2 linked regions of the Sus scrofa genome follow. The protein of the gene in region 1 interacts with the protein of each later gene in a pairwise test. Links are inferred from orthologs where the notes say so. Each region holds a gene or a part of one and is shown in the gene's direction. Other genes may lie near its edges.

Region 1 (6,478 bases):
GATCTGCTCTGATGTTACCGCGTGTGAATTGCCTTTATAATGTGTGTGATTCTGTGAGCGTGATTTTTTTGTCTCTTTTTAAAAGGCAAGAAAAAACCAGTCTGAGGCTTATCTATGACGGCTGGGAAACAAAAGCATCTATTGGCAAAGGATTCTAAGGGACCAGGGAAAGATTAAGAGCCTGTTCTTCACTGACCCACTGAATCTGGCATCACTGCTGATGAAAGGAGAGACAAAGAAATCCCAGGTCCAAGACTCTTTGACTCTGGGGGTGTTCTCCCAGCAAAACTTACCCAGCTAAATGCCTAATCCTGGGCATGGAACGTTACCTTCCCAAAGGGGATGGTAAATTCATGATCACTCCCTCCACACGAACTTTAGATGTCACACGCTCCCTGAGAACAGACGTGTGAGAGGTCCAGGAGATAATGGAGTTTTACCAGTGATGATTTAAAGGCCAGGTGAAACAAGTGAAAGCTAAAAGTTTTTCCCAGAATCCAAGAAATAACTTGAAAGAGGCAAGTCAGTCATCTTTGTTTTCTTCACTTTTCCTAGGGAGGCCAGAATCTACTAGAATTTTTTTTCCCTACATCTTTAAAATTTTAGTTCCTTGTTCATGGTGTATAATAAAGAAAACCATGCTCTCTATGAAGCAGCTAAATTATAAAGAAGCACAAAAGCAACCAAACAATGTGTTGAAAGGATTTTATGATTTACTATAAAACTTTTTTCTCTGGTTTTTAAACCCTTCCCAACATAAAATATTGATCAGCTGTTGTAGGAAGTATCTTTTGTTTAAAATACTGAGCCAATGTACTGATGAAGAAGTTACTATGTAAACGACTTGTCATTCATGAAGAGAGCTAAAGCCTGTAATAATAAAAGTAAATCTAAACACACATTCTTCCCAAGTTGAGAATTACTAGACTTGGTTCTCAGTCTTGGTCTGGGAAAGTTCCCAGGGGGTTTTGAGTAAGATAAGACTAAACACACATAGAGTTGCCTTGTGGCTCAGCGGATTGAGGGTCCCGCGTTGTCACTACTGCAGCTCCCGTCCCTATTGTGCAGGTTTGATCCCTCGCCTGGGGAACTTGCACATGCCACGGTGCCACAAAAACAAGAGGAAAAAAACCAAAAAAAACCCCTACTCTACCCTTCTAAGATTCATTCATACCTCCAAGCAACACAAGATCTTTTGGGGGGTGAGGTTTCTATTTGCAACGTTCGGTGGGAGAAGATGCGGAAGAAGTAGTCCTCAGTTGGAGCGGACAAGGGTAGGAGAGTGGGTAAGAGGGTGGCAAGAAAGGCCATCTCTGTAGGCAGATATGAGCAAAAGCAACCAGACCTTCTGCCCAGAGAGTAATAACATTCCGTGACGGCTAGCCCAACCAAACTGAAATTAGGAATGCCGTGGCTGGTAGAAAATAGCATAAAAGGAGGCACGTGATCTAACTTGATTTAGTTGAGTTGAACTTCTTTCTTTTACTGGCCTAAGGAGAACAGGCCCCAGCAGCAAATACGAGCTCCCCTGCTTCCCAACCCTTTCCATCGGGTGCATCGGATGCACGCAACGCACTGAGCCCTGCAGAACCTGCTGCCATCTAGCTGGACCTCCTTCCTGCAAGATGGCTCCTACACGGTGACCATTCCCAAGAATCAGCTCTAGGTGCCACCTCCACGTCCAGAGACTGCCCGTGGGCCTCAGTTCCCCGGACAGGATGTCGGACTCGGCCGCACGAGCGGTCCCAGATGTGTTGTCTCTTTGACCCCCTGGACCCCGACTCTTTTCATCTCCTCCCTCCAACCCTCGTTTCTTTTGCTTCTTTCCTTCTCGCTGGTCGAGCGGCGCGGAAGAAAAGGCAGCCGGCCTCACCCCGCCTCCGAAGCATCGACGCAGACCGGCCGGGCTGCAGGGTCGCGGCGACCGGCGTGCGGGGGCGGCTGTGCGCCTTCCCGGGTCCCGCAGCCTTCCAGCCCTCCCCGAAAGTCCAAGCCCGCGGCGGGGGTCCTGCGGGCGGAAGTGAGAGGCCAGGCGTGGGAGGAGGCTCCAGGCAGACGGCCCGGGACGACCCGAGCAGGGAGCGCGCATCGCCCGGGCCTTTTTTGGCGCGGAGGGAGGCCGGAGGGGCCGTCCACCGCGCCGAGCCGGGAGGGTGGCGAGGCCGAGCCGCCGCCTCCGGGACTGGGAGGAGGGGCCGTCTCGGGGGCGCCGCCGCGGCCGGGAGAGGCTGGGCGGGCGCGGGCGGCCCTGCGCCGCCGCCGCCGCCGCCTCCCAGCGCCAGCGTTCGGCAGCCTCCCCGGAACCCGGCGAGCGCGGAGAGCTGGCGGGAGCCCCCGCTGCCCCCGGGCCCCCAACCATGTCGGCCGAGGAGATGGTGCAGATCCGTCTGGAGGACCGCTGCTACCCGGTGAGCAAGAGGAAGCTCATCGAGCAGAGCGACTACTTCCGCGCCCTCTACCGCTCCGGCATGCGTGAGGCCCTGAGCCCGGAGGCCGGCGGCCCCGAGGTGCAGCAGCTACGCGGCCTCAGCGCCCCGGGCCTGCGCCTGGTGCTGGACTTCATCAACGCCGGCGGGGCCCGCGAAGGCTGGCTGTTGGGCCGACGGGGGGAGCCGGGCGGCGGTGGGGAGGAGGAGGAGGACATGGACGAGGTGAGCCTGCTGTCCGAGCTGGTGGAGGCGGCCTCCTTCTTGCAGGTCACGTCCCTGCTGCGGCTGCTGCTGTCCCAGGTGCGGCTCACCAACTGCCTAGAGCTGTACCGCCTGGCGCAGGTGTACGGGCTGCCCGACCTGCAAGAGGCCTGCCTGCGCTTCATGGCCGTCCACTTCCACGAGGTGCTCTGCAAGCCCCAGTTCCATCTCCTGGGGTCTTCTCCTCCGGCCCCCGGGGATGTCAGCCTGAAACAGAGGCTGAGAGAGGCCCGGATGACTGGGACTCCTGTGCTCGTGGCGCTGGGTGATTTCCTGGGGGGACCCCTAGCCCCTCACCCCTATCAAGGAGAGCCCCCGTCCATGCTCAGGTACGAGGAGATGACCGAGCGTTGGTTCCCGCTAGCCAACAACCTCCCTCCAGACCTGGTGAACGTCAGGGGCTATGGGTCCGCCATCCTGGACAACTACCTCTTTATAGTGGGCGGCTACAGGATCACCAGCCAAGAGATCTCCGCGGCCCACTCCTACAACCCCAGCACCAACGAGTGGCTCCAGGTGGCCTCCATGAACCAGAAGAGGTAAGCAAGCGCCCAGCCGTGCTGCTGCTTTCCCGCCTTCATCTGTTCACGAATTTGGTCCCCTAGTGTTTGCTGAGCAGTCACAGGAAGTTGTGCTGGGATGGGAATGACATCCTGGGGAGCGTTGGTGGCCTTTGGCAAAGTTACCCATGAACTTGGCAAGGAAGCCGAGGCCCCAGTGAAATCAACTATCTGAGTCATTTATTTGCAGATATTGCACCTTTAGACTGCCCCCCCCCCAACTTTGCGTCTATCTCAGTGGAAAAAAAAAGATGTGTGTGGTTTCCTAGAAGGATACCTTTAAAGAAAACTGTAATTTTGCTTTTATTTTTACCTTTTTATTTTTTAGGAACTAATGCTGATTATAATGACACATGGGGCAGTAACCTGTAACACTGATGTTGGCGAATCTTGTTAATGACCTTGAAGCTTTAAGCACTGGGGCACCAACCTGTGATCAGAAAATAACCGTTAGAATGTCAGCTGTATAGGAGATCATCTTTATTTTTTTATTCTCTCTTTTTGCAGCTCACTTTCTTTGCAGACAGTCTTCATCATGGACCCAAAACTTGAGCCTTACATTGGTCACCTGCAAAATTAGAACATTTCCATTTGTCCCAACCTTCTACCTTCCCATCCTGCACATCCCTCCCAACATGCACTGGGGTGACTTGAAGAAAGGAGAAGAAAAGGAGATGGGGGCAGGGGGAGACAGAGCCAGGAAAAGAATAGGAAAACAAGAGCAAAGAGCATTATAGGAAGAAGTGGTAGAAAGAAAGATGGTAGGGCCCAAGATGGCCTAGAGCCATTCCAAAGAGGGGAGAAGAATCAATGTAACCCAAGGGAGGACAGGAATACCCTTTCTTCTGGTCCACCTGTATCCATCTCAAGTACCACCAAGATGCCTGCCCTGAAGTGTGGAATGAGGATTTGGGAACTCACAGCCATGCAAAGAAAGTCTTAACAGGAATGGGAAAGTCATCACACATATTTACTTGACTTAAAGTCCTCCCCCAAGGCTGAGCAGTTGGGGGGGGGGGGAAGGGAATGAGTCCTGGCCTTTTTTCGACTGTAATATAAAATTCAATTTGGAAGGTTTTTTTTTTTCCCCTCATAATAAAAAATACAGAGTTATTCACAAAAAATAGAAAAACGTCAGAGAATGAAGAAGCAGAAAGACTGTCACTCCTACTTTCTCCTTCCTGGAGGTGATAACCATCTAGAGGTTGGCGAATTTTCTTCTAGGATCTCTTTGTTGCATTGCATTATTTGCACCAAGGGGGATGTTACTGTATTTAAATTTTGATATCAGAATTTTTTTTTTTTTTTTTTTTTTGACTATGCTTGCAGCATGTGGAACTTCCTGGGCCAGGGATTGAGCCTGAAACACAACAGCGACCCCAGTCACAGCAGTGATAATGCAGAATCCTTAACCCACTGAGCCACAAGGGTACTCCATCAGAGCGTTATTTTATTTCAGTTTTTGTCTTTTTTTTTTTTAGGGCTGCACCTGTGGCATATGAAGGTTTCCAGGCTAGGGGGTCTAATCAGAGCTGCTGCTGCTGGCCTACACCACAGCCACAGCAACAATGCCAGATATGAGCCACGTCTGCTCCGTACACCACAGCTCATGGCAATGCTGGATCCTTAACCCACTGAGTGAGGCCAGGGATCGAACCTGCAGCATCATAGTCCCCAGTCGGATTCCTTTCCGCTGTGCCGTTACAGGAACTCCCAGAGCATTATATTTAAACAGATTTTAAGAGTGTTAGTTGAATCAACAAATGACCGTGTAGTGGTGATGGGCAATGCTCAGATTAGGGGTAGAAGGCCTGGCACGTTGTCTGTCGCCTCCTGCTGTATGGTGCTCAGCACACTAGCCCTAGCTCCACACCTCTGACATGAAACATTGTAGGATTCTCGTCTTTCTCCACAAATTCTTGGTAGTCCTTTTTTCCCCTCCTAGGAATGCTGTTTTTGTCCTCTTTGGGGGGAAAAAAATTCAAATAATGCATAAATACATGCTTAGAAAAATTGCAAATGGCATGAAAAGCCATGGAGTAAAAAAAAAAGGTGCATCTATAGACATTTATAAACATACATTATAAATGTATTTTTATAATTATAAACGTATATAAATATGATGATAGTGGCCGAGGTGGAAAAATGCATATATGTGTGCATGTACATGTGGGATGTATATACATCTTATACATATTTTTATTCTAAAATTGATTAGCTTTGCTGATTTTTATGGCCCTTGGTATTTCCACTCAGTTTTTGCTGTATCAGCTAATGTAGATCCACTTCAGGCTTGTCAATGGCTGTGTAGTATTCCAGCCTATGGACACACTGTGCTGTAATTAGCCCTTCCCTAATTCATGAGTATTTAGGTCACTTCCATTTACCATTTTTGAACAGCTTGGTATATGTGTGCCTATCTTAGTAAGCATATGTGTGTTAGTTCTATAGGGCAAATGCCTGGAATCTCTGGATAGGTGTGGTAAAGGGTATGTACATTTAATTTTTTTTTAATGATTTTTATTTTTTCCATTGTAGTTGGTTTACAGTGTTCTGTCAGTTTTCTACTGTACAGCAAAGTGACCCAGTCTCACACACACACACACACACACACACACACACACACACACACACACACACACACATTCTTTTTCTCACATTATCCTCCATCATGTTCCATCACAAGTGACTAGATATAGCCCCCAGTGCTATAGAGCAGGATCTCATTGCTTATCCATTCCAAATGCAGTAGTTTGCATCTGTTAACCCCAGATTCCCAGTCCATCCCTCCCTCCGCAGCCCCCCAACCCCCGCCCTGGGAACCACAAGTCTATTCTCCAAGTCCATTATTTTCTTTTCTGTGGAAAGGTTCATTTGTGTCATATATTAAATTCCAGATATAAGGGATATATGGTATTTGTCTTTTTCTTTCTGACTTCAGAATGAGAATCTGTAGTTCTATCCATGTTGCTGCAAATGGATTATTTTGTTACTTTGATGGCTGAGTAGTATTCCATTGTGTATGTATACCACATCTTCTTAATCCATTCCTCTGTTGATGGACATTTAACTTGTTTCCATATCTTGGCTATTGTGAATAGTGCTGCAATGAACATACAGGTGCATGTGTCTTTTTCAGGGAAAGTTTTGTTGGGGTATACGCATAAGAGTGGGATGGTTGGATCATATGGTAGTTCTATATTTAGTTTTATGAGGTACCTCCATACT
Region 2 (6,318 bases), on another chromosome or scaffold:
TACGTACTTTTTTTTTTCTGAACCAAAGGAGAGTAAATTGGAGACATTCTACCCCTAATATAGTAGTTCAGCAGGCATCTCTTTTTTTTTTTTTTTTTTTTTTTGTCTTTTTGCCATTTCTTGGGCTGCTCCCACGGCATATGGAGGTTCCCAGGCTAGGGGTCGAATCGGAGCTGTAGCCACCGGCCTACGCCAGAGCCCCAGCAACGCGGGATCTAAGCCGCGTCTGCAACCTACACCACAGCTCACGGCAACGCCGGATCGTTAACCCACTGAGCAAGGGCAGGGACCAAACCCGCAACTTCCTGGTTCCTAGTCGGATTCGTTAACCACTGCGCCACGATGGGAACTCCAGGCATCTCTTTAGATTAAGGATGCTCACTTATTAATCCATTTCACATCTAAGAGAATTTAAAATTCCGCGATATCATCTAGTATCCAGTCTATGTTCAAATTTCCTCAATTTTCTCAAGAATATCTCTCATAGGAGTTTCTGCCCACCCCAGCCCCCAATCATGATTGAATGCAGATTCAGATGCCTATTTGGTTTTAATAAAGAAATTATATAGTCTCTGGTATTCTGAAATATCTACCTCCCCCAATCCCTTCTTGTGTTTTCTTGAAGTTGAATTTCTGATAGGATAACCCTGTGGTGCTGTAGGCAGCCTACATTGTGTATTTGCCTGATTGCCTTCGTGTTTAATTTTTCACTCTCTGTTCCCTAGAAATTGGAGTTGGATCTAGACACTTGAGATTGAGCATCCATTGATAATCGCTGTCTGAATCAACCAGTCTAGTTAGCATTTTTGATGGCTTACTTTGGTCAAGGGCTTTATTCACAAACAGTTCTTCCCATAGGGCCTGAAGAGTTAGCAAACGAGCTACTGAAGAAGGTAAGACCCATTGTCAGTTTAGCCAACAAGTATAAAACTGCTGTCTACCTTCATCCCATCCGGCGTGTCTCCCCTTGAACTGTGCTATTACCACAACAGCCATTACTACGAAAGGACACGTTGTCACACACCACTTCCAACGTTTTGCACCAATTGTTTTTTAATCCTTAAAACAACCCTCTGGAGTTCCCGTCGTGGCGCAGTGGTTAACGAATCCGACTAGGAACCATGAGGTTGCGGGTTCGATCCCTGCCCTTGCTCAGTGGGTTAACGATCCAGCGTTGCCGTGAGCTGTGGTGTAGGTTGCAGACGCGGCTCGGATCCTGCGTTGCTGTGGCTCTGGCGTAGGCCAGTGGCTACAGCTCCGATTCGACCCCTAGCCTGGGAACCTCCATATGCCCAAGAAATAGCAACAACAACAACAAAAGACAAAAAAAAAAAAAAAAAAAAAAAAAACAACCCTCTGAGCCAGATGCTATTTGTCTGATTTTAGAGGTGGGGAAACGGAGATGCTCCTAAGAAACTAAAACATTTGTGCAAAGTCACACAGCTACTTAGGGAAGGGAGCCCAAGAAGGGGCTCCAGGGACATCCCACCCCTCCCTTCCTAGTTCCTGTAACCACAATTGAGTACACCTGCCCAGCATCTGTAGCGTCTGATATAGTGCTTTTACAGAGACGACCTTATTTTAATTTTACTAACTCTCAAGAGCTAGGCAAGAAGATCTCCCATTTAACAGACTCAGAGATGTCAAGCGTCTTTCCAAGTTCTCGCATCGAGTGAGAATTTGAACCCCGGGTCTATCTGGCTTAGAGTGTAGACCCCTGTTGGGGCTGGGTGAGTAAGAAGTTCAACTGCTGGAATTGGCGGGGCCGGGGGTAGGTGTGAGGGGGCAGCACAAGGAGAGACACAAACGCCACCCTCTACCGTCCCACAGGGCAAAGAGCCACCCCACCTTCTCTCCCCGGTTCCTTCACGAAGCTGCCCGGACATGCGCCCTGAAGACCACTTCCCCTCCTTTCGAACCTGCCCCCTATAGGCCCCGCCCATCGCCATCTAGGACCAATCCCTGAGTGGAGGGCGGGGCCTCCAGGGGAGTGGGCGGTAGCTAAGAGGAGTGGAGAGCCTGAAGTCGTGCGCTGGAGTCAGAACTCCGTCTCTCAAGCCAGGCTCCGGTTGCTGGAGGAGAGTGAGCGAGCAATGCTGCCGCCACCGCTTCCTGATTGGCTGCGGGTGGCTCCCTCTTCGTCCTGATTGGCAGTTTGTGAGCTGGGTATGTAAATGAAGGGAAGAAACCAGGGGAAAGAAGGGGTACTGGCCGCGGGGTCCTTTGGCAGGTTCGATCCCTGCGTCCGGCAGGTGCGAACCAGGGCTGTCTGGAATCGAGACGCACGGGCCTCTAAGGGCCGTCCGCCCCGGCCGGGCCGGGTGAATCACGCCGCAGCCCGGGAAGGGGGCGGAGGCGCCGGCTCTCTGGCTCCGGCTGTGTGACTCACCCGCCCCCGCCGCCGCCGCTTCGGGAGGAGTCGCCTCCACTGCCTTCCGGAAGCGAGCGGAGGCCGAGAGAGCAGAACAGCTCTCTGGGTATTCCGGCTCGCACGGTCCCGGGCGGCTGGCAGGAACGTTCACGTCCCGCGCGGCAGCATAAAGGGTCCGGGGGGGTCTGAGGAGCCGGAGTCCCCGGAAGAAAGCCGTCCTGGGGCCGCTAGGGGGCGCCGGAACACGGGGGAGGAGTCGGGGGTGGGGGCTGAATTCCTGCGGTTCCGGACTCCCGGGTCGGCTGGGAAGGAAGAGAGGACCCAGTTTTGAGTAGTGTGAGCGGTCCGTCTTAAAGTCCTGCTAGGCAAGGATCCCAGTACCCACTGTACCCTGCAGGCTGCCCGATTTAAAAAATCAGGTTGGGCCAGGGCACCACCCCGGGCAAAGTGTGGGTTCTCAAACTTCTCTCGGTGACCCCTGTGCCTATCAGGATTGTCCGGCAAGCTCTGTCCATTCTGCCTCTCAAATAAATCCTGAATCGACCAACTTCCTTCCATGGCCACTACCGCCTTTTACTCCCAAGTCACCATCATCGCCCACCCCAAGCCTCCAATGGATCGCAGTGCCACACTCTTCCAGCCTCCCTCCCTGTCCCTGCTCCCCAAAGCAGCCTAGGGGATCTTCTGGAAACCTAATCAGTCCACAACGCGACTCTCTTCCCTGCTCAGAACTCTTCAGTGACTGCCCACCACACTCACAATAAACTCCAAGCTCCTTGCCTCTGCCTCCTCTCCAACTCGCTCTTCTCCCTCCCTGCCCCCATGTCGCCCTGTGTACTGACCTCAGAGTTTTTTTTCAGTTCAAGCTGTTCCAGCCTCTAAGACTTTCTTTGCCTTTGCGGTTGTCCTTTATTCCCGGAATGCCTTCCCCCAGGTTCTTCCATGGCTACTTCCTTCTCATACTTAAGGGCTCATTTCAAATGTCACCTCAACATGCCACAGGCCCAGCCAACAAACAAACAAAGATTGTCAAAGTCACCTCGGAGGGGGAGCCTTCCCTGACTATGCTCAGATCCTTTTGGTATCTTCCTAGCACCTTCTAACACTTCCTGTATTTGTTTATGTATTGGTTGTCTGATACTATTAGTAGGCACCCCAATAAATATTAGATTAAAGCACGTGAAACAGCTGCCTCGCAGGTTAAAAGAAAGTTTAGACTATTGGACATTTTACATGTTTCACTGAAGAAATAAATAATAGTTATATTAATAGTATTATTTATGGGAGTTATTGTATACGTATTCACTGTTGTAAGTTCTTTTCGTATCTCACTTATTCCTTAAAACACCTCTAGGGGAGTTTCTGTCATGGCTCAGGGGTAACAAACCCAACTCTTATCCATGAGGATGAGGGTTCCCTCCTGGGCCTCGCTCAGTGGGTAAGGATCCAGGGTTGCTGTGACCTGTGGTGTAGGTCACAAATGAGGCTCGGATCCCGCATTGCTGTGGATGTGGCCAGCAGCTACAGCTCCAATTCAATACCTACCCTGGGAACTCCCATATAATGCTGGTGTGGCCCTAAAAAGACCAAAACCAAACAAACAAAACCTCTTGGAAATAGATACAAATATCATTCATATTCTAAAGTTTCCCTAAGAAAGGCTAAGGTCAGAGAGGTTAAGTGATTTGCCCAAGATCACACAGCAGTTGTCAGAACTTCACGTTGGCTTTCCATAACTGACTGACTGTCCTTCCTTGCAGATGATGCTGAGCAAGGGCCTGAAGCGAAAGCGGGAGGAGGAGGAGGAGGAGGAGAAGGAAGCCCTGGCAGTTGACGCCTGGTGGCTGGATTCTGGCCACCCAGCAGTGGCACAGGCACCCCAGTCGGTGGCCTCCAGTTCCCTCTTCGACCTTTCGGTGCTCAAGCTCCATCACAGCCTGCGGCAGAGTGAGCCGGACCTGCGGCACCTGGTGCTGGTTGTGAACACGCTACGGCGAATCCAGGCGTCCATGGCACCCGCGGCTGCTCTGCCACCTGTGCCCACCCCGCCTACATCCCCTGGTGTGGTGGACAACCTGCTGACCAGCTCGGACGCCGCCCTCTCGGCCTCCATGGCCAGCCTCCTGGAGGACCTCAGCCATATTGAGGGCCTGAGTCAGGCCCCCCAGCCCCTGGTAGATGAGGGGCCACCAGGCCGCCCCACTGGGGGAGCCCCACCCAGCCTGGGTGCCTTGGACCTACTGGGCCCGGCCACTGGCTGTCTGCTGGACGATGGGCTTGAGGGCCTGTTTGAGGACATTGACACCTCCATGTATGACAGTGAACTTTGGGCACCAGCCTCTGAGGGCCACAAATCCAGCCCGGAGGGTGGGCCAGGCAAGGAGGAAGCTCCAGAGCTGGACGAGGCCGAGCTGGACTACCTCATGGACGTGCTGGTAGGCACACAGGCACTGGAGCGGCCACCAGGGCCGGGGCGCTGACCCCCAGGGATGGAGTGGTGAGCTGGTGTCGAAACTGAGCCTGGTGGCTGGACCAACTCTCCTTAAAGACACAGCCGGCTTCCCTAGAGAGGGACTTTGGAGAGAAGGAATCCTGTCCTGGGCAAGTTTACCTCCACCCTCCATCCCCTTCACTTATGGCCGATGGGGGGAGTCTGGGATGGGCTCCTGTGATGAAATGCCAGGACCTGGTGGCTGGAATGTGATTGGACCAGGCCCAGTGTTGAATTCCCAGAGGTCAAAGCCTAGTATCCCTTTTCACTGATGTGGGAAGAGACCCCAACCAGTTCTGTGAAATTAAAGCCGGTCCTGGGAAGTCTCAAATCTGTGTACTGCTTTGTTTCTGGGCTAAGGCGAGGGTAAGATAATAACCTATAACATGGATCAAGCGTGGACTGCACACCCAACCCCAGCACCGTTCTAAGCCCTTGATGTGTGTTAACTCATTTAATCCTCATAACCAGAGGGGCATTATTATTATCCCCATTACACAGCTGGGAAAATTGAGGCTCCAAGAGGTCCTCTCTTGAAGAGCTAGGTTTCAAACTGTACTGCTTTTTGGTCTGAGAAGTAGACCAGTTGGGTCTGGTAACTGGTCCCCTTAGAAGACTCCTGGAATATACTCAGCCAGGTCTCCCTGATGTGCCTGTGTGTGTACGTAACAGAGGTGGCGGCAGCAGGGGAGAAGCCCCAGGCCACTGATTAAAAATGAAATCTGGTCCTTGTCTGGAATCTACTTCTGTGTCTTGGGGCCTGGGGGTGGGAGCAGAAGGGACCTTTCAGAATGAGCCAGAAATTCAAGCACAAACGCTGGAGGCTGGATGGAGTCTCTGAGGGCCAGCTCTCCAGGAAAATGGTGAAAAAACCAAGAAGACCAGCGACTTTTGAACCAAATCCACTCCCAGGTCTCCAGTCTCTCTTTGGGCAGGGGATAAGGGAGCCTGGAAGCTGATTCCGCAATAAAGCCACCGGAGGTTGGTGCTGACTTTATTTCGGAACGGCAGGCGAACCTGCTTTCCTTCCAGAAGAAGCGCAGGCCCCGGCGAGCGGGGGCCACCTGCCTGACAGCCTGTGCGGCAGGGCTGGCCTGAGCGCCGGCTGTCTGCGCCGCCCCCGCCGTCCAGCCGCATTCCTGGCCCGGCTGGGAGGGGCCGCACACTCAGAGGCCTGGCACGGGACCCAGGCGGCGTCCTTCCTGGCGGCCGTGGGGGCAGGGCAGCGCCCCGGGTACGGGTCGGGGGAGGGGCGCGGCGAAAGCCGCAGCGGGGCGGGGTTCGGGGGGCGAGGGGCCCAGGGTCGGACCTGGACCCCAGGGACGGGCTGGACCGCGAATGCGGGAAACCTCGCCAAAGGGACACTAACATCGCGGGGCCCCGGGGCCTCCACTCTGGCCGGAAGCGTCGGGGAGGCTGTAGCAGGGGTGGGACGTGGAGGGGGGGAGGAAGGCGG

Evidence for each region. The genes of interacting proteins can lie anywhere in the genome.
Region 2: the proteins of KLHL42 (region 1) and SERTAD1 interact in binary tests that used the Homo sapiens proteins (3 or more experiments, as listed by UniProt). The two-hybrid records come from large-scale screens. The link is inferred for Sus scrofa from reciprocal best matches to the Homo sapiens genes KLHL42 and SERTAD1.

Annotation. Positions count from the first base shown.
Region 1 is NC_010447.5:45,950,650-45,957,127, reverse strand, and holds the start of KLHL42 (kelch-like protein 42), read left to right. Parts: upstream 1-2,240; 5' UTR 2,241-2,357; coding exon 2,358-3,229; intron 3,230-6,478. UniProt on the Homo sapiens protein: Substrate-specific adapter of a BCR (BTB-CUL3-RBX1) E3 ubiquitin-protein ligase complex required for mitotic progression and cytokinesis. The BCR(KLHL42) E3 ubiquitin ligase complex mediates the ubiquitination and subsequent degradation of KATNA1.
Region 2 is NC_010448.4:48,698,123-48,704,440, reverse strand, and holds SERTAD1 (SERTA domain-containing protein 1), read left to right. Parts: upstream 1-1,992; 5' UTR 1,993-2,166; intron 2,167-4,131; coding exon 4,132-4,851; 3' UTR 4,852-5,560; downstream 5,561-6,318. UniProt on the Homo sapiens protein: Acts at E2F-responsive promoters as coregulator to integrate signals provided by PHD- and/or bromodomain-containing transcription factors. Stimulates E2F1/TFDP1 transcriptional activity.